3 linked regions of the Oryctolagus cuniculus genome follow. The protein of the gene in region 2 purifies or fractionates together with the protein of the main gene of each other region. This does not show direct contact. Links are inferred from orthologs where the notes say so. Each region holds a gene or a part of one and is shown on either strand. Other genes may lie near its edges.

Region 1 (4,426 bases), on a different chromosome or scaffold from region 2:
AGTCCATCCTGAGCCATCCAGAGCTGGCGCGGGGCGTGGGAGGGGGAGGCCTGACTGGGGCTGCAGGGCTAAAGGCCACATCTATGAAAGCAGGCTCTCTCCTACCCTAAAATCTGTCTACTCGGGACCCCACGGGAGCCACCAAAGCTCCCTGCCCCACATCCTGCCGCCAACATGTGGGGCATCCCGGTGGGGAGACTGGACACCCCACATGCCAGAATCCTCCTGGGGGACAGGAGCTGGAGGGAGAAAACCACCTGGGGGTGGTTCTCGCTGTCCGGGACCACATGGCACACCCCATGGGTCAGTCCTCCAGTCCCAGACCCTGGCCCGCCCCGCAGCCTGATTCCATTGGTGGGGTGGGGTGTGGGCGGGGCCCCGAGCCAGCCCTGTGTGAGACGAGCAGGCGCAGGCGCTGTGGACGGACGGACGGACGGACGGGTGGACGGACGTGCAAGGACAAGGAAGGAAGACAAACCCCACCAAGGCAGGAGGAAGAGGAACAGGCACGAGGGTCCTTCAAGTCACATGCAGGCAAGCGGGTTGCTGAGGAGGCGAGCAGAGGCGGCTCTCAGCTGATGGGGTTAGACCACCTGCTCCTCAGGGTTAATAAGCGTATATGCAAATGACCTCTCCGCCCCCCCCCGGCCCCGCCCTGCCCCGCAACCCCCCAGACCCCAGCAGGCAGGGTTCCGCTTACTTTGTGTCAAGTTCTATGAGATTGGTATCTACCGGCGTCTCGTTCTCTGGAACTGAACACAGGGCAGGGGGCGCCCAGGGGTTAGTGCGTGGGGAGACATGGAGGTGAGTGGGCACAGCCCTCCACCCCGGGACTGCCAGGCTCAGTAGGGGAGGGTCAGGGAAGAAGGGGAACGTGGAAAAGGGGGCCTGCCAATCATCTAAGGCCATGGAAGGGCCCTGAGTGGCCACAGGAGCAGGGCAACCTCGGGGTACTGGCTCCAGCTCACTTCAGTGCACTGCCTAGCATGCGAACCTCCCACTAACTCTGACCTCGCTGAACTTGAGCTGTGTTTCAAAATGGAGTTAATATCAATGAACAATCGGGCGCCTCCAGGAATGGTATGCTGGGGGTGGGGGGGCTCTCGTCCACGCAGCCCTTCCCCCTAGTGCGCACAGGACCCAGCCCAGGCCTTGCTCCCCCACGGAGAAGACAGTGAGGGCCAGCTGTGTCCCACTGGGGCCCACGGCAGACGGGAGTTGTGGGACCCACGGGAGATCCTGGGGAGCTGGGGAGAGGGTGCACCAGGCTGAGGCTGACCTGGAGGGAGAGGTGCGGCAGGCAGGGGAGGAGGGAGTGGGCCCCCTGAAACCCTCACGGCAAGGACCCTCCCAGTCCTGCTCACCTTCCCGATGTGGGGGCTCCTCTTTGGGCTTGGGGTGCATCAGGGTGAAGGGCAGCTCCACGGCCACGTCACTGAAACAGAGAGCCAGGCCTGCTGAGCCCAGGCCTCAGCGGGAGGGCTGCGGAGGGCTCTCTGGCCCTCACTCTGCACTCTCCAAGATGGAGATCTTTCTAGGGGAGGAATGTAGGAGACCTCCTCCCCTGTCCCTGATGGAAACAGAACTTCCCCTTCCTGGATCAGGGCCCCCGGACACGGGGGCACGACTGCCCAGGCCAGTGCACACCATGGCCACTGGGGGCCCTGCAGGTGCCCTGAGCCCCGCCCATCTCAGACGGCCACAGCCACCTCGGCCCTTCCCAACTCCTGGCTGGGAGTGTGCCCACCCCTCCCAGCACCTAAAACAGTGCCCAGCTGACCCTGGATACCTGCCACCTGCAGGAGGCACGGCTAGAGGTACATTTTACCAGTGTCGGGTCAGCTGGGACCCAGGGCCCAAGGCTGTCCACACAGGTTTGTGGTGAATGGGAGGCATCAGCCACCGGCCAGGGCTTTGGACTTGACCTTCTCTGCCGGGTCCCTGCGGGGCAGGACAGGGAGGGCAGAGATTTCCACGGCACTGACTCGGCCAAGGACTCTCCTGGGCACTTTCCATAAAGCAACTCGTTGAATCCTCACAACAACTGTATCATTGCCCCCAATGTATGGGTGGAGAAACTGAGGCACAAGGAGATGAAAGCATCCTGCCCAAGGCTACACAGCTATTCATGGGGAGTGACAGAGGATTCTGGCTCCAGGGCCACACCCTTCAGCACTGTGTGACAGCAGCGGCCTGAAGCCATCTTGGAGCAACACCCTTCACCCTGGGATCTCCATCCCGACCCTGACCCATGGGCACCTCCAGGGTCCGGCTGGGGAGTGGAGCAGTCAGGGGCGTAGGCTGAGCTGAGAGTGGATCCCGCCAGCCCCGCCACTCACTGGCACAGCACTGGGGTCCGGAAACCTCTGCTGAACTCAACCGAACAGAGCTGAATGACTTTCCTCTCACACTGGACTAAGTATTCTTGGGATGCTTGGCCAGGGATGCTTGGCCAGGGAGAAGCCAGGGCGTGCATCTTAGGAGGGTGGGTCTATCCGGCTGGCACCCAGGCCATCTCATGCACAAATGTGGCTCCCCGAAGGGCCTCTCCTTGGCTCACCAGCGGGCAAGTCGGGAAGTCACAAAGCCTGCACTTCTAAATACCCTGTAATCCAGTAGCTCGGGAATTCAGTGATTTGCTGCTGGCGAGAGCTGAGGACTAGCAGGGCGCAGCTTCCTGAGTAGATACTGTGTCTTTCTCGAGAGCATTCTGGCATCAGCACGCACCTGACCTTGGCCATCTGAAACGGCCACTAAGGGTCCTTCCAACCCAGCGCCCCATGCCCCTGCTCCATGGGGTATCTGGGCCCTGCAGGAAGGTAATCAACCAGGCCAAAGCGAGGGACATTACCTGGACGCAAGATCTCCCAGCAGGCTGGGTGGGTCAGAGGAGGCAGGAGGAGTGGTCAGGAGAGTTGAGAGAGGAAAAAACAGAAAGCACATTCATTCACCACCTCTGCTGCCCCTCAGACAGAGCAGACCCTGGGACATACACGCCCCCCTCCCCTGGGGGCGCACTGCCAAGCTCAGCAGGCCCTTTCCTTCGGAAAGCAGGTGCACACGTGAGCTCCGGGGCCGCCACGGTGGCACAGGGCGCCAAGCCGCTGCCTGCGATGCGACATCCCACACCGGAGGCACAGGTCTGAGTCCCGCCCAGCTCCGTGCTAACACGCCTGGGAGGCAGCAGGTGATGGCCCAAGTAATGTGGGAGACCGGATAGAGTTCCAGGCTCCTGGCTTCAGCCTGGCCCAGAGCTGGCTGTTGATGCCATTTGGAGAGTGAACAGGGGGTGGAAGATCTCCTCCCTCCCCCTGCAAAAAAAAAAAAAACCCACTCCAGTGCTGCCTGCCCTGCCTGTGGTTCACCAGGAGCACTGCACAGGAGACGCCATGTCTAATGGATTTAGCTTTTCTTTTCTCTTTTAAGCTTTTATTCATTTATCCGGGAGGCAGAGACACAGAGAAAACTCCCATCCGCTGGTTCGCTCCCCACTGAACTGCAACAGCGAGGGCAGCCGAAGCCAGGAGCCAGGAACCCAATCCAGGCTGCCTGTGTGAGTGGCAGGAAGCCAGCTCTCTGAGCCACACCGCCGCCTCCCAGGGTCCCCATCAGCAGGAAACCAGCGCCAGGCCTCAAACGCAGGTGCTGTGGCACGGGCATCCTCAACCCGCTGCACACCTGCCCCTACACGGCTGTTCAACCTCGCTACAGACACTCCTAAACTAAGTCAGAACAAGTTCTCTGACCCGTGAGAAATCCCGGTTCCGGTGTATAACACGTCCGTCCAGGACGTGGGGAGAGGGGAGGGCTGCTCTGAGTCCCCACTGACGAACTCTGCTCGGGGCAAGGAAGCACCTGGTCCCCGGCTGTGACCCCGACACCCAGGCCGCACCCTGACCTTCATGGGGGTGGCAAACTGTGGGCCTCAGCTTCCTGCCCTGTAAAACGGGAAAGCCAGGCCAGCCAGCAAACCCCCAATCTGCCTGAGTCCCTTGGGCTATGTCCCCAGCGGGAGTGGGGTGGGTGCTGCACTGCAAGGTGGGTGAGGGGCTCAGTCCCCCCGGGACCCCCAGCATGGATGTCCTCCCCTGGGGCCCTGGCCGACCCTCAGTGCACGCTCCAGACACAAAGAGGAGGGTGAGGATGGGGAGGAGGAAGAGAAGGGACAGGAAGCCTCGTGCCCAATCCTGCTGCGAACGAGAAGATGGACCGGAAGGCAGGGGAGGGGGGCGGGGGCTGTGGGCGCGGACGGCCCCTGGGTGCCCTCAGGCTCAGCTCCCGCACTCACCCGCCCCGTGACACCACCAGCTTGACTTTCACTTTGTAGGAGACGATGATGCCCAGGATCTCGCGGTTGGCCCCTTCCCGCATCCTGTGGGCGACAGGGGAAGCTGGCTGGGAGGCCGATGTGGGTGTGCGGCAGTAG
Region 2 (5,165 bases):
TTTTCTAATCCCTTCGGACAGATCAGGCACATGCCCTCTGAAACTCCAAATCCCAGCCACACACCAGCCCTCTACAAAAACACCTTTTACCTGCTATTGCCCTCCAAAGGGTGGGAACTAGAGTTTGCTAACTGGGCTCTTTCAAAACTTCTTATTCTGGGTTGTCCTTTGAAACAGTGACCTGTCACAAATGGACACTTGTCTAACAACAGGATATTCCTGTGCCGGGGGCAAAAAGATGACAATCCTTCCACGGAGATGGCCAAGGCAACTTTAAGGTGCATGTTGGCTGTTTTAAAAAAACAGTCATCGGAACGTTTAGGTGCCACGTATAACTTCCAAACCTCCTTTATCTCCTTTATTTAAATGCCCTGCTCCTATGATAGTGAGACAAACATGCCCACATCTTTCTCCCCCCACAAAAAAAAAAAAAAAAAAACTCAAAATTTTCTAAAACTCTCTCCCTAGAGTTGTCATGCTCAAAGAAGAAACGCTAAAAAACTCAGTGTGCTGGCAGGGCACCTGGAACCGAACCAACCCCTATAACGGCGCTCACAGCCGCCCCCAGAACACCCTTCCCGGCTAGGACCCGGCTGGCTTCTCTCTCCCGTGGTCCGGAGCCTTTCGGGTTTTAAAAAAACTGAACTCATTTTCTTGTAGCCCTCAAAACTGCAGCAAGCGGGTGGGGCCGGCACTGAGCTGGACTTGAGCAAACCTCAGGAGGATCAGGGCGCCTCCTGGCCATCGTCGGGTTCTAAGGAACTCACAACCTCAGAGACCCCCGGGGAAGAGCGGTCCGTCTTGGCATCGCGGTTTTAAAAACCTACATCGACAGACTTTCTGCCTCCCCTTTGTGTTCTCAAGAAAAAGCGCCCTGGCCAAAAACCACTCCCCGCGAGAAGGGCTCCGAGTCCTGGCCAGAAGCAAGGCCACGCTGCAGTTCTAGATTTCAGAACTCACTAACAGTCAGTAAGAAAGGGAGAGCAAACAGCGCGGTGCGACACCACGCCGCCACAAAATGGATTCGCTCTCTGGGGTCCTCCACGCTGCACTCGGCTGTCCTGGCCAAGAGCCCCCCCCCCCCCCCGCCCAGTCCCCCAAACACCACCCCCGCGCCTCAGGAGGGGGCAGCAGGAACCCGTCCGTCCAATCCCGCGCGCTCAAAGTTTGGAAAACAAAGAGCAGGAGAGCCCGGGTCTGCGCCTCCCTCCACGCAGTAAACACGCTAATTCCGTAAGGATCTGCGCCTCCCCGCATCACGCGCTCGCCGCCGATGAGACGTCTAAGTGGGGCTTGCTGATGGAAACGGCTTCTCCGAACCTCCCCGTGATGGGCCAGGCGGCCCCCCGCCCCGCTCAGTCGTGATTTTTCAGTTAATAGGCACCACCTGCATACCCGCGGCAACCATTACTCACCAACGCCCTCGCCGTTTCCAGCCCCAGCCCCGCGACTGCTTTTCAACCTTCCTGCGCGTTCACCTTATCCTACCATCCCTGAAGTCCCCGGGAGCCACCTCGGGTCCTTCCGAGAATAACCGCGCCGCCCCGGCCCTGCCTGCACACTCCGTGGGTGCGCTCGCTCCCCGCACCCCCGACGCCTCCAAAACAAAAGCCATCAGATGGCAAGCGACAGCGCGCGTGGGGCGACACCGCTTATTAACTGCACAAAGGAAGCGCGGGGCGGTCGAGGCGGTGCCACGCAACACTGGTCGCAGCCAAACGCGTGCCAGGGCTCCGCGCTCGCACGCAAACCCCCGCCGCAGGTCCCGCGCTCCGTCAACCTCCGCGCGCCACGCGCGCAGCGGGGCCCGGGTTGGGAGTCCGCGGCGACAGCGAGCGAGCACGTGTGTGGAAACGCACGTCGGCTCCGGCCACACACGCGCTCCCGCACTCCCGGGCGCTGCCCGATCACAGGCCCCCCTCCCTCCCCGCAATCCCCGGGGCGGCAAAGGCGCCCTCGGGCCAGACAGAATCTGGAGACGGTCCTGGGGCCCCACACGCGCTCCCGGAAGGACTAGGCTGACGGAGGCCCCGGGCCTAGCACTCGCCCAGGGGCCGCCCGAGGGGCGCTCCAGCATCTCCGGGACGCCAGGGGCGGGGGACGGGCCAAAGGAACGCAGCGCGCCCCGAGCCCGAAGTCGCCCGAGGGGCAAAGGCACACTAGGCGGCTGGAGGCCGCGCCTGGATGTTTGCCAAAGTGTCCGGCGGCTGCGGGGCGGCTGCGCGGGACACGACGCCCTCGAGGGCAACTCGCGATGGCGGGCCGAGGGCTCCCCGCTCCCAGCACCCTGGCGGCCCCAGAGGCAGGCGTGGCGCGGCCTCAGTGCCGTGCGGGCCGTCTGCGCGCCCGCGGGAGTCGCCGTCCCGTGCGGGGCGAGAGCAGGGCGTCGGGCCCCAACTTCCCTGCGGAGTCCCCGAGCCCGGGCGGGCCCCTGCCGCCCGGAGTGAGCACGGCCCACCCACCTGGCCTCCGGGCTGGGCTCTTGGGACTACGAACTAGAAAGCCCCGCAGCCCCTGCCCGCGCGGGATGCGCCCGGTGGGCTCCACACCCAAAGGCTTCGGGCCCGGGTCCGCCCTCCGCCCCGCGCGCCCGAGCCGGGGGCCCGACAGCTGCGACGGTGGCAACTCCGGTTTCGCAAACAGGGCGCAGGCCCTCGGAGAAAAGTTCCCGCAGTGGCCGCGGGCGGCGGGCGCATACTCACTTTCTCCACTCGTCGGCCAGACCGAGAGCGCGGCGGAGAGAAACAGGAGCCCCCACGCCGAGGTCCGGGACCCTCCTCCGGAGCCAGACTTCATTCCTTTGATTTGGAACGAAAGTCCCCTTTCTCAAAAAAAAAAGGGGGGGGGGGTTCAAAAGCAGTCTTCGCTCCAAAGCCAAGAGCGAAGGAAGAACGGTCCGAAGGCAGCGCAGACGGGGCGGGAGACCCCTCGGCGTCAGCAGCCGCAGCCCAGGACTCGGCAGAGTGGGGAACCCAAGGCGCTCTGGGGAGGGCTGTCGGCGTCGTCGGCCTCCATTTTCAAATCCAGAGAGGCAAGAGGTGTGTGTGGGGGTCACTGCCCAGAAAAGAGGCAAAGCCCGAGTGCGTCCAGGAGAGGAAAAACAAGCCCGACCCCCGAGGAGGGGAGGTGGCTCCGCGCCTGGGGCCCCGCGAGGGAGGGCGCGTCGCGGTGCCAAGCTCGCTCCCAAGTCGCGGTGGCGGGGGAGGCCGGCGAGGGGCGCAAATGCGGAGTAAAAATGAATGAGCGGCTCCCCCCCCCTCCTCCTCCCGCTCGGGCTGCGCTCACCGCGCCGCCGCCCTCAGCGCAGCCGCCGCCGCCAGCTCCTTCCCAAATCCAGGACGCACACAAAGCGGCGGGCCGGCCGCGCCGCGCTCCGCTCCCCGCAGCCGCCCGGGCTCCGCGCGCGGGGGCTCCGGCTCGCTGAAGGTCAAGGCCGCGACGCCCGCGGGGCTGCCCCGCGCGCGAGGGGCGTGGAGGGCCGGGGTCCCGGGGAGCCGGCCGCGAGCAGGCTCGCCGGCGGCGTCCCCGTCGCTCGCTCGCCCGTCTCGAGTTCACCGGGTGCGCTCCCTCCTCCTCGGGCTTTTTCCCTTTTTTTTCCGCTCAGCGGAGTTAACGCTGGTAAACAAGAACCCCAGCCTCGCCGCGCCGCCGCCGCCGCCGCCGCCACACACTGGGGGCTCGCGCGCGCCTCGGGGCCGCGCACACGTGCCCGCGCGCACCCCCGAGCGGCCGCCGCCGCAGCCGCGCCGCGCCAAGGGCCGGGCCCAGGCCGGCGCGCGCCAAGAGCCGGAGTCCGGGATCCCCGGGACGTGCGGAGCGGAGCCCGGGCGTGGGGCGCGAGGCTGCAAGGCACCGCCCCTGCCGCGCCCCCGCCCGCGCCGGCTCCCTCGCGCACTCAGGCGCGCGCCCGCCCCCACCCGCACTGCGCTGGCCGCCCCGCACGCGCCTCCCTCCCGCAGGACTCCAAAAACAATGCCCCCGGCGCCCGTGCGGGGCCCGCGGAGGGGTCGGGCGGGGCCGGACTGGGGAGGGTTTCGCGGAGCCCGGCGGGGTTCGTGGAAAAACAACGGCGCGGCTGGAGAGCGCGCCCCCCGGTTCTTGAAAAGCCTCATTGTTCCGTGCAGCTGTTGCAAAATAAATAAATAAGTGCGTGCATGCGGCATTTTTTCGCAGCATGCCGGGGGGCCCCGCGCGCGACGGGAGGGGCACACCTGGGAGCCAGGGGAGCCACTGGGCTCTGACACCCCGCACTTGCCACGCACGGCGGCGGCGCCCACAGCGTCGCGCAGGAAAGCCCGGAGCTCCGGGGCGCGGCTCGCGAGGCTCAGCCTAGGGCACGGGGTGGTGGAGGGTGGACACTGCCCGCTGCGGGCCGAAGACCCCGAGCCCTGGAAAGGGGGGTCCAGCTTGGCAGCCCCGCGTGCCCAGAACGCGTGGCCGCGGCGGCCGCCAGAGGGCGCGGCGGGCGCCAGGCAGGGACAGCCCGCGCGCTGCTGCCTCCCTCCCTTCGGGGGAGGAAACGCGGGGGCCCGGGCTGGGGGCCGGCCGCGCGGGGTCGCCCTGGCGGGGGCCTCCCCGACCCGCGGCGCGCCTGGAGCGCGCCCCCCAGGCCTCGCGCGGCTTGAGCTCCACCACGTGGGCGGCTGCGGGGAGCGGCAGTGGTGCGTGCACGGTGCGGGGCTGCGGGACCCGGAGTGGGGGGGCGTGTCCGAGGGGCCCAGAGGAGCGCAGAGGGGGGCGTCGACCCGGGTCCCGCCGCGGGTCCTGCCGCTCGGGATCGGAGCCACTGCAGAGACGCACCCGCACCTGCCTCGGGGACCCCGGGCGCGTCCCCCTTTGCTTGGTTCTCTCCACGTAAGTGACTGGAAGCCTGCACCGGCGCGGGTCTCCGCGGCGGGCTGCTGGAATGTCCCTGAGCAGCAGGCGCTGAGGCTCCAGTGTTTGCGGGGACCCCGCGCCCGCAGGGGGCCCGGCCGGGCGGCGGAGGCGGACTGCGGCACTGCACGGACGCGGACTTGCGAGGGCGGGGGCGGGTCCCGCGCCGCGCCCCGTGCGGTCCGGCTGACCGAGGTCGCGGGCAAACGCGCGGGTGGCGGGTGCGTGGAGCGAGCAGACCCGCGGGGCTCCCCGGCTGCCGGGCCGCGCGCGGAGCGTGGCCTGCCCGA
Region 3 (4,426 bases), on a different chromosome or scaffold from region 2:
GGTGGCTGTTATTCTTAGAGGAAGAAACAGCTGTTGATAAGAATACAATCATCTTAAAACTGATCAAATTAGTATCAGTGCATAAAAATGAAGGCTAATCACTACCTCCACATCACAGTTGAAAGGAACATGCATTCCACATTTCTTTCTTGATCATCCAAGCCATTTTAAAAAAATCACTTTCCTTTATGTCAAAAATAGCAGTATAGAGAAGAAATGTTGGAAGGTGAGTTAAGTGAGAAGTCAGACTTACCTGGCCATCAGCAGACCAGGCCAAAGATGTACACTGGGGTGGCTCTGCCTTGCTGCTGGTACTAATAACTTCTTGCTTCAGTTCATCTACAATGATCTTGCCTTCTAAGTCCTGAGAAATAGGTCAAAACCAGGGTGAGGATACTGTTAATACATTTATACCAGTGATACTTTTTAAGAAACTCAGTAACAGAGGTCCCCTCTCAAAAGCCCCTTTTTATAAATAGAGTCTCAACAGGATGATTTTGCCCAAGGGGACATGTGGCATTGCCTACAAGCATTTTCAGTTGCAACTACTAGGTATGGAAGAGGTTACATGGCCTGTTACCAACATCTTGTGGATAGATGTCAGGGATGCTAACACTAAACAGACCCACTACACAATTACACAGACCAAAAAGCCATTATGCAGAGGCTGCGTATTCTGCCATACATAATCACCCCTTTCAGTAAGCAAATATTCCCCTCCATTAATAATCCCAATCCAGGGAACTTTTCTAGGTCTCCACCAACAGCTTGATGGTTAGCATTTGTTTAGTATGTGGGACTCCCAGCATCAAACCCATATGGCATGTTAAGTCACATTGCCAGGATTCGATCTCATGCTTACCCAGATCTTGATGCTAGGGCCTGTGGCAGCACAGAGCCAGTAGCGGTTGGGGCTAAAGCACAGAGCATTGATGATGTCTCCTCCATCCAAAGTATAAAGGTGTTTGCCTTCATTGAGATCCCATAGCATGGCCTGCCCGTCCTGCAGATAGGGAAGGTGAGTCAGCAGCACAATGTAACCTCTCCCAGATGTCAATCCCACCCACCTCAGGATTTTGTCATCAATGTGCTTTTAAAGATTTTAGTCATCTGAAAGGCAGAATGATGGAGAGGAGAATAGATAGATCTTCTATTTGCTGGTTCACTCCCCAAATACTACTAACAATTGTAGCTAGGTCAGGCCAAAGGCCAGGAACATGACAGGGCTCCCACATGGATGGCAGGGATGTAACTACTTGAACCATTATCTGCTGCCTCCCAGGATGTGTCTCAGAAGGTAGCTGAGACTTGAACTAGGTACTCCAATATGAGATGTGGGCATCTCAAAGCAGCAGCTTAATGGGCCGTGCCACAAAACTCTCTTGCCCATCAGATCCTTCAGTACCCTGGCTTTCTTGAAAGCTACTGACTCTACCAATATTTATATCTACAGGCTTTTCCTTTAACAGAGGACATCAATAGCCCCATAAACTTTCTGATGGGTTATCAAAAAAATCACTATGATCATTTCCAAACAGGATCCATCAATTGCTTCAAGAAACTTTACAGAGAAAACATTTTTTTTTTTCCTTTGAACAGTATGTCTCACCCATGTAATTTTCAGTAAGTGACCTTTGGAAACATACTCTTGAATAACCTGGCTAATACTTAGTTTATAGTTTATGTCGAAGACCCAAGGTATTCTTTTTTTTTTTTTTTTTTTTGACAGGCAGAGTGGACAGTGAGAGAGAGAGAAACAGACAGAAAGGTCTTCCTTTTGCCGTTGGTTCACCCTCCAATGGCCAGTGCATGGCGCTGATCTGAAGCCAGGAGCCAGGTGCTTCTCCTGGTCTCCCATGGGGTGCAGGGCCCAAGCACTTGGGCCATCCTCCACTGCACTCCCGGGCCAGAGCAGAGAGCTGGCCTGGAAGAGGCAACTGGGACAGAATCCCGAGCCCCGACCGGGGCCACAAGGCGGAGGATTAGCTTACTGAGCCACGGCGCCGGCCCCAAGGTATTCTTTCTATGAGACTGTCCCCCTGGTTGAGACTCCTGGCCCCCAAATACCTTGCCTCCAGAAGCACAAAGGGATCCATCTGGAGACACTGTCACAGTGTTCAGATAGCCAGTGTGGCCAATATGGTTAGTCTTCAGCTTGCAGTTAGCCAGATTCCATACCTGTGTAAATGGGTGGGGTTACAGGTGAACAATTTAGCTCGTATCAGCCAGGACTGAGAAGAGTCAAGCCCAGCAAAAGGCTTGGCACCTTGTTTAAAAGCTTTTAAGGGATATCAATTAGCTATTTAAGACCAACTGTCAAAAACCAATGGTCTGTACTGAGTAAATCCAACAAGAGGAAAAGTCAATTGAAGGAATCCACAATGCCTAAGGGGTTCTGGCTTGTACAAGCCCTCTATGCCAGCTCAAAACTCACCTTGACTAGCTTGTCCCAGCCACAGGAGACAATGATAGGATTGCTGCTGTTGGGCGAGAAGCGGACACAAGATACCCACTCTGAATGGCTCTCATCCTGCAGAGAATGGAAAGGAAGTAAGAGAAAACATTTCTATCTTAAACTATAGAACTCCATCCCTGATCTCGGTGGAATGGATATTGGCAGTACTGTGTTCACATCTCCTAACTGAACCATGAAGAACAGAATCTCTTTAGTCAACACATAAGGCAAAGGTTAAAAGAAAGGGTGCATGGGAACCTTGAACATGTGTTTGCTGCCTTCACTTTACCTGGACAGTGTATTTGCATACACCCAGAGTATTCCATAACTTGATGGTTTTATCTCGAGATCCAGAGACAATCTGACGGTTATCAGAGGAGAAGGCAACACTCAGTACATCCTTGGTATGGCCTACAAATCGTCTTGTGGTGGTGCCCCTGAGAAAGACAGCTCTGTCACTCTAGACAAACTTTACCAACATTTTTCTGGCATTCGCCCCATCCCGGTGGACTGCATCACTAACAAGTCTTTTCCGAGTTTATGTCAGAGAATCCCTTCAGAATTGCAGGACATGTCCTCACTCCCACATGGGGATTGGCTGACAATGTCATCTGTCATCACCAGGATCCTCCATTATACTTGCCAACTGCTTATCTAGAACAGAAATTCAAGATAAAACTTGTTCCAACCGCTGTCTACTCCAAATTGCTACACCTATAAAAACATTCAACCAGGCTGGCGCCACGGGTTCTAGTCGCGGTTGGGGCGCTGCATTCTGTCCTGGTTGCTCCTCTTCCAGTCCAGCTCTCTGCTGTGGCCCGGGAAGGCAGTGGAGGATGGCCCAGGTCCTTGGGCCCTGCACCCCCATGGGAGACCAGAAGGAAGCACCTGGCTCCTGGCTTCCAATTGGCACAGTGCACCAGCTGCAGTGGCCACTTGGGGGGTGACCAATGGAAAAAGGAACACCTTTCTCAAAAATTCAACCAGACTACTTCTCAGCAACCATAATTAAATCAAAGGGCCCCCTGAGGGGCCAGTGCTGTGACACACTGCCAGCATCCCATGTGGGCACTGGTTCTAGTCCCAGGGTATCCTCTTGCAATCCAGCTCTTTGCTGTGGCCAGGGAAAGCCACAGAAGATGGTCCAAGTGCTTGGACCCCTGCACCCACATGGGAGACCAGGAAGAAGCTCCTGGCTTTGGACAGGCGCAGCTCTGACCACTGCAGCCATTTGGGGGCTGAACCAATGGAAGAAAGACCTTTCTTTGTCCCTCCCTCTCACTGTCTCTAACTCTCTCAAATAAATAAATCTTAGAAAAAAAAAAATTAAGAGGGGGCCCGAATAACTATCTTCTGTAGGTAGTTTTTACTTTATACTTCAACTTTCTCCTGGAAGATAACCTCCCAATTGCCATCTACCTCATTTCTTCCCAGCTTTTCCCCAAGATCCCACAGCTAGGTGAGCAGCTACTTGCGTTGTGAGATCCCAGAGGCGAAGGGTTCCGTCCCAGGACCCTGAGAGGGCAAACTGGCCATCTGAAGATATGACCACATCACTAACGAAGTGGGAGTGACCCCGAAGAGCTCGCTGCGGGATGCCATAGTTGGTCTCATCCCTAGTCAGCTTCCACATGATGATGGTCTTGTCTAAAGAAAGACAAAAGGGAAACTGGTGAGGAACTTTGCAGCCCACTTGCTGACCCTATTGAAAATTTAAGATGTTACAAAATCATATGTAGGTTAACACTTAAAAAGACACTTCGAGAGGAAACAAACTGTAGGTTATTTGCCAGGGCCCAGTGGCCAACAGTTCCAAAAAACAGGCAGGTGGGCCTAAACTGTAGCACGAAAATCTAACCCAGGTGTCAGAGAATACGGTTACCCCTTCTTGAGATTCAAACTAATTCAACATATATTTTGTATCTTGCCAGAATGCTTGAGAAAGCTGTGGAAAAATTAACTAAGTCATTT

What was found. The genes of interacting proteins can lie anywhere in the genome.
Region 1: the proteins of IGF1R (region 2) and ARRB1 purify together in Homo sapiens (affinity purification with western blotting; 3 studies listed by BioGRID and IntAct, with this or other methods). This does not show direct contact. The link is inferred for Oryctolagus cuniculus from reciprocal best matches to the Homo sapiens genes IGF1R and ARRB1.
Region 3: the proteins of IGF1R (region 2) and RACK1 purify together in Homo sapiens (affinity purification with western blotting; 4 studies listed by BioGRID, with this or other methods). This does not show direct contact. The link is inferred for Oryctolagus cuniculus from reciprocal best matches to the Homo sapiens genes IGF1R and RACK1.

Annotation. Positions count from the first base shown.
Region 1 is NC_091432.1:66,410,757-66,415,182, forward strand, and holds part of ARRB1 (beta-arrestin-1), read right to left. Parts: intron 4,373-4,426; coding exon 4,289-4,372; intron 2,876-4,288; coding exon 2,852-2,875; intron 1,436-2,851; coding exon 1,365-1,435; intron 753-1,364; coding exon 701-752; intron 547-700; coding exon of another isoform or gene 525-546; exon of another isoform or gene 1-524. UniProt on the Homo sapiens protein: Functions in regulating agonist-mediated G-protein coupled receptor (GPCR) signaling by mediating both receptor desensitization and resensitization processes.
Region 2 is NC_091443.1:8,708,086-8,713,250, forward strand, and holds the start of IGF1R (insulin-like growth factor 1 receptor), read right to left. Parts: upstream 3,108-5,165; 5' UTR 2,797-3,107; coding exon 2,703-2,796; intron 1-2,702. UniProt on the Homo sapiens protein: Receptor tyrosine kinase which mediates actions of insulin-like growth factor 1 (IGF1). Binds IGF1 with high affinity and IGF2 and insulin (INS) with a lower affinity. The activated IGF1R is involved in cell growth and survival control.
Region 3 is NC_091445.1:34,930,843-34,935,268, forward strand, and holds part of RACK1 (small ribosomal subunit protein RACK1), read right to left. Parts: intron 4,103-4,426; coding exon 3,931-4,102; intron 3,084-3,930; exon of another isoform or gene 3,005-3,083; intron 2,893-3,004; coding exon 2,745-2,892; intron 2,531-2,744; coding exon 2,435-2,530; intron 2,179-2,434; coding exon 2,068-2,178; intron 1,004-2,067; coding exon 863-1,003; intron 365-862; coding exon 254-364; intron 1-253. UniProt on the Homo sapiens protein: Scaffolding protein involved in the recruitment, assembly and/or regulation of a variety of signaling molecules. Interacts with a wide variety of proteins and plays a role in many cellular processes.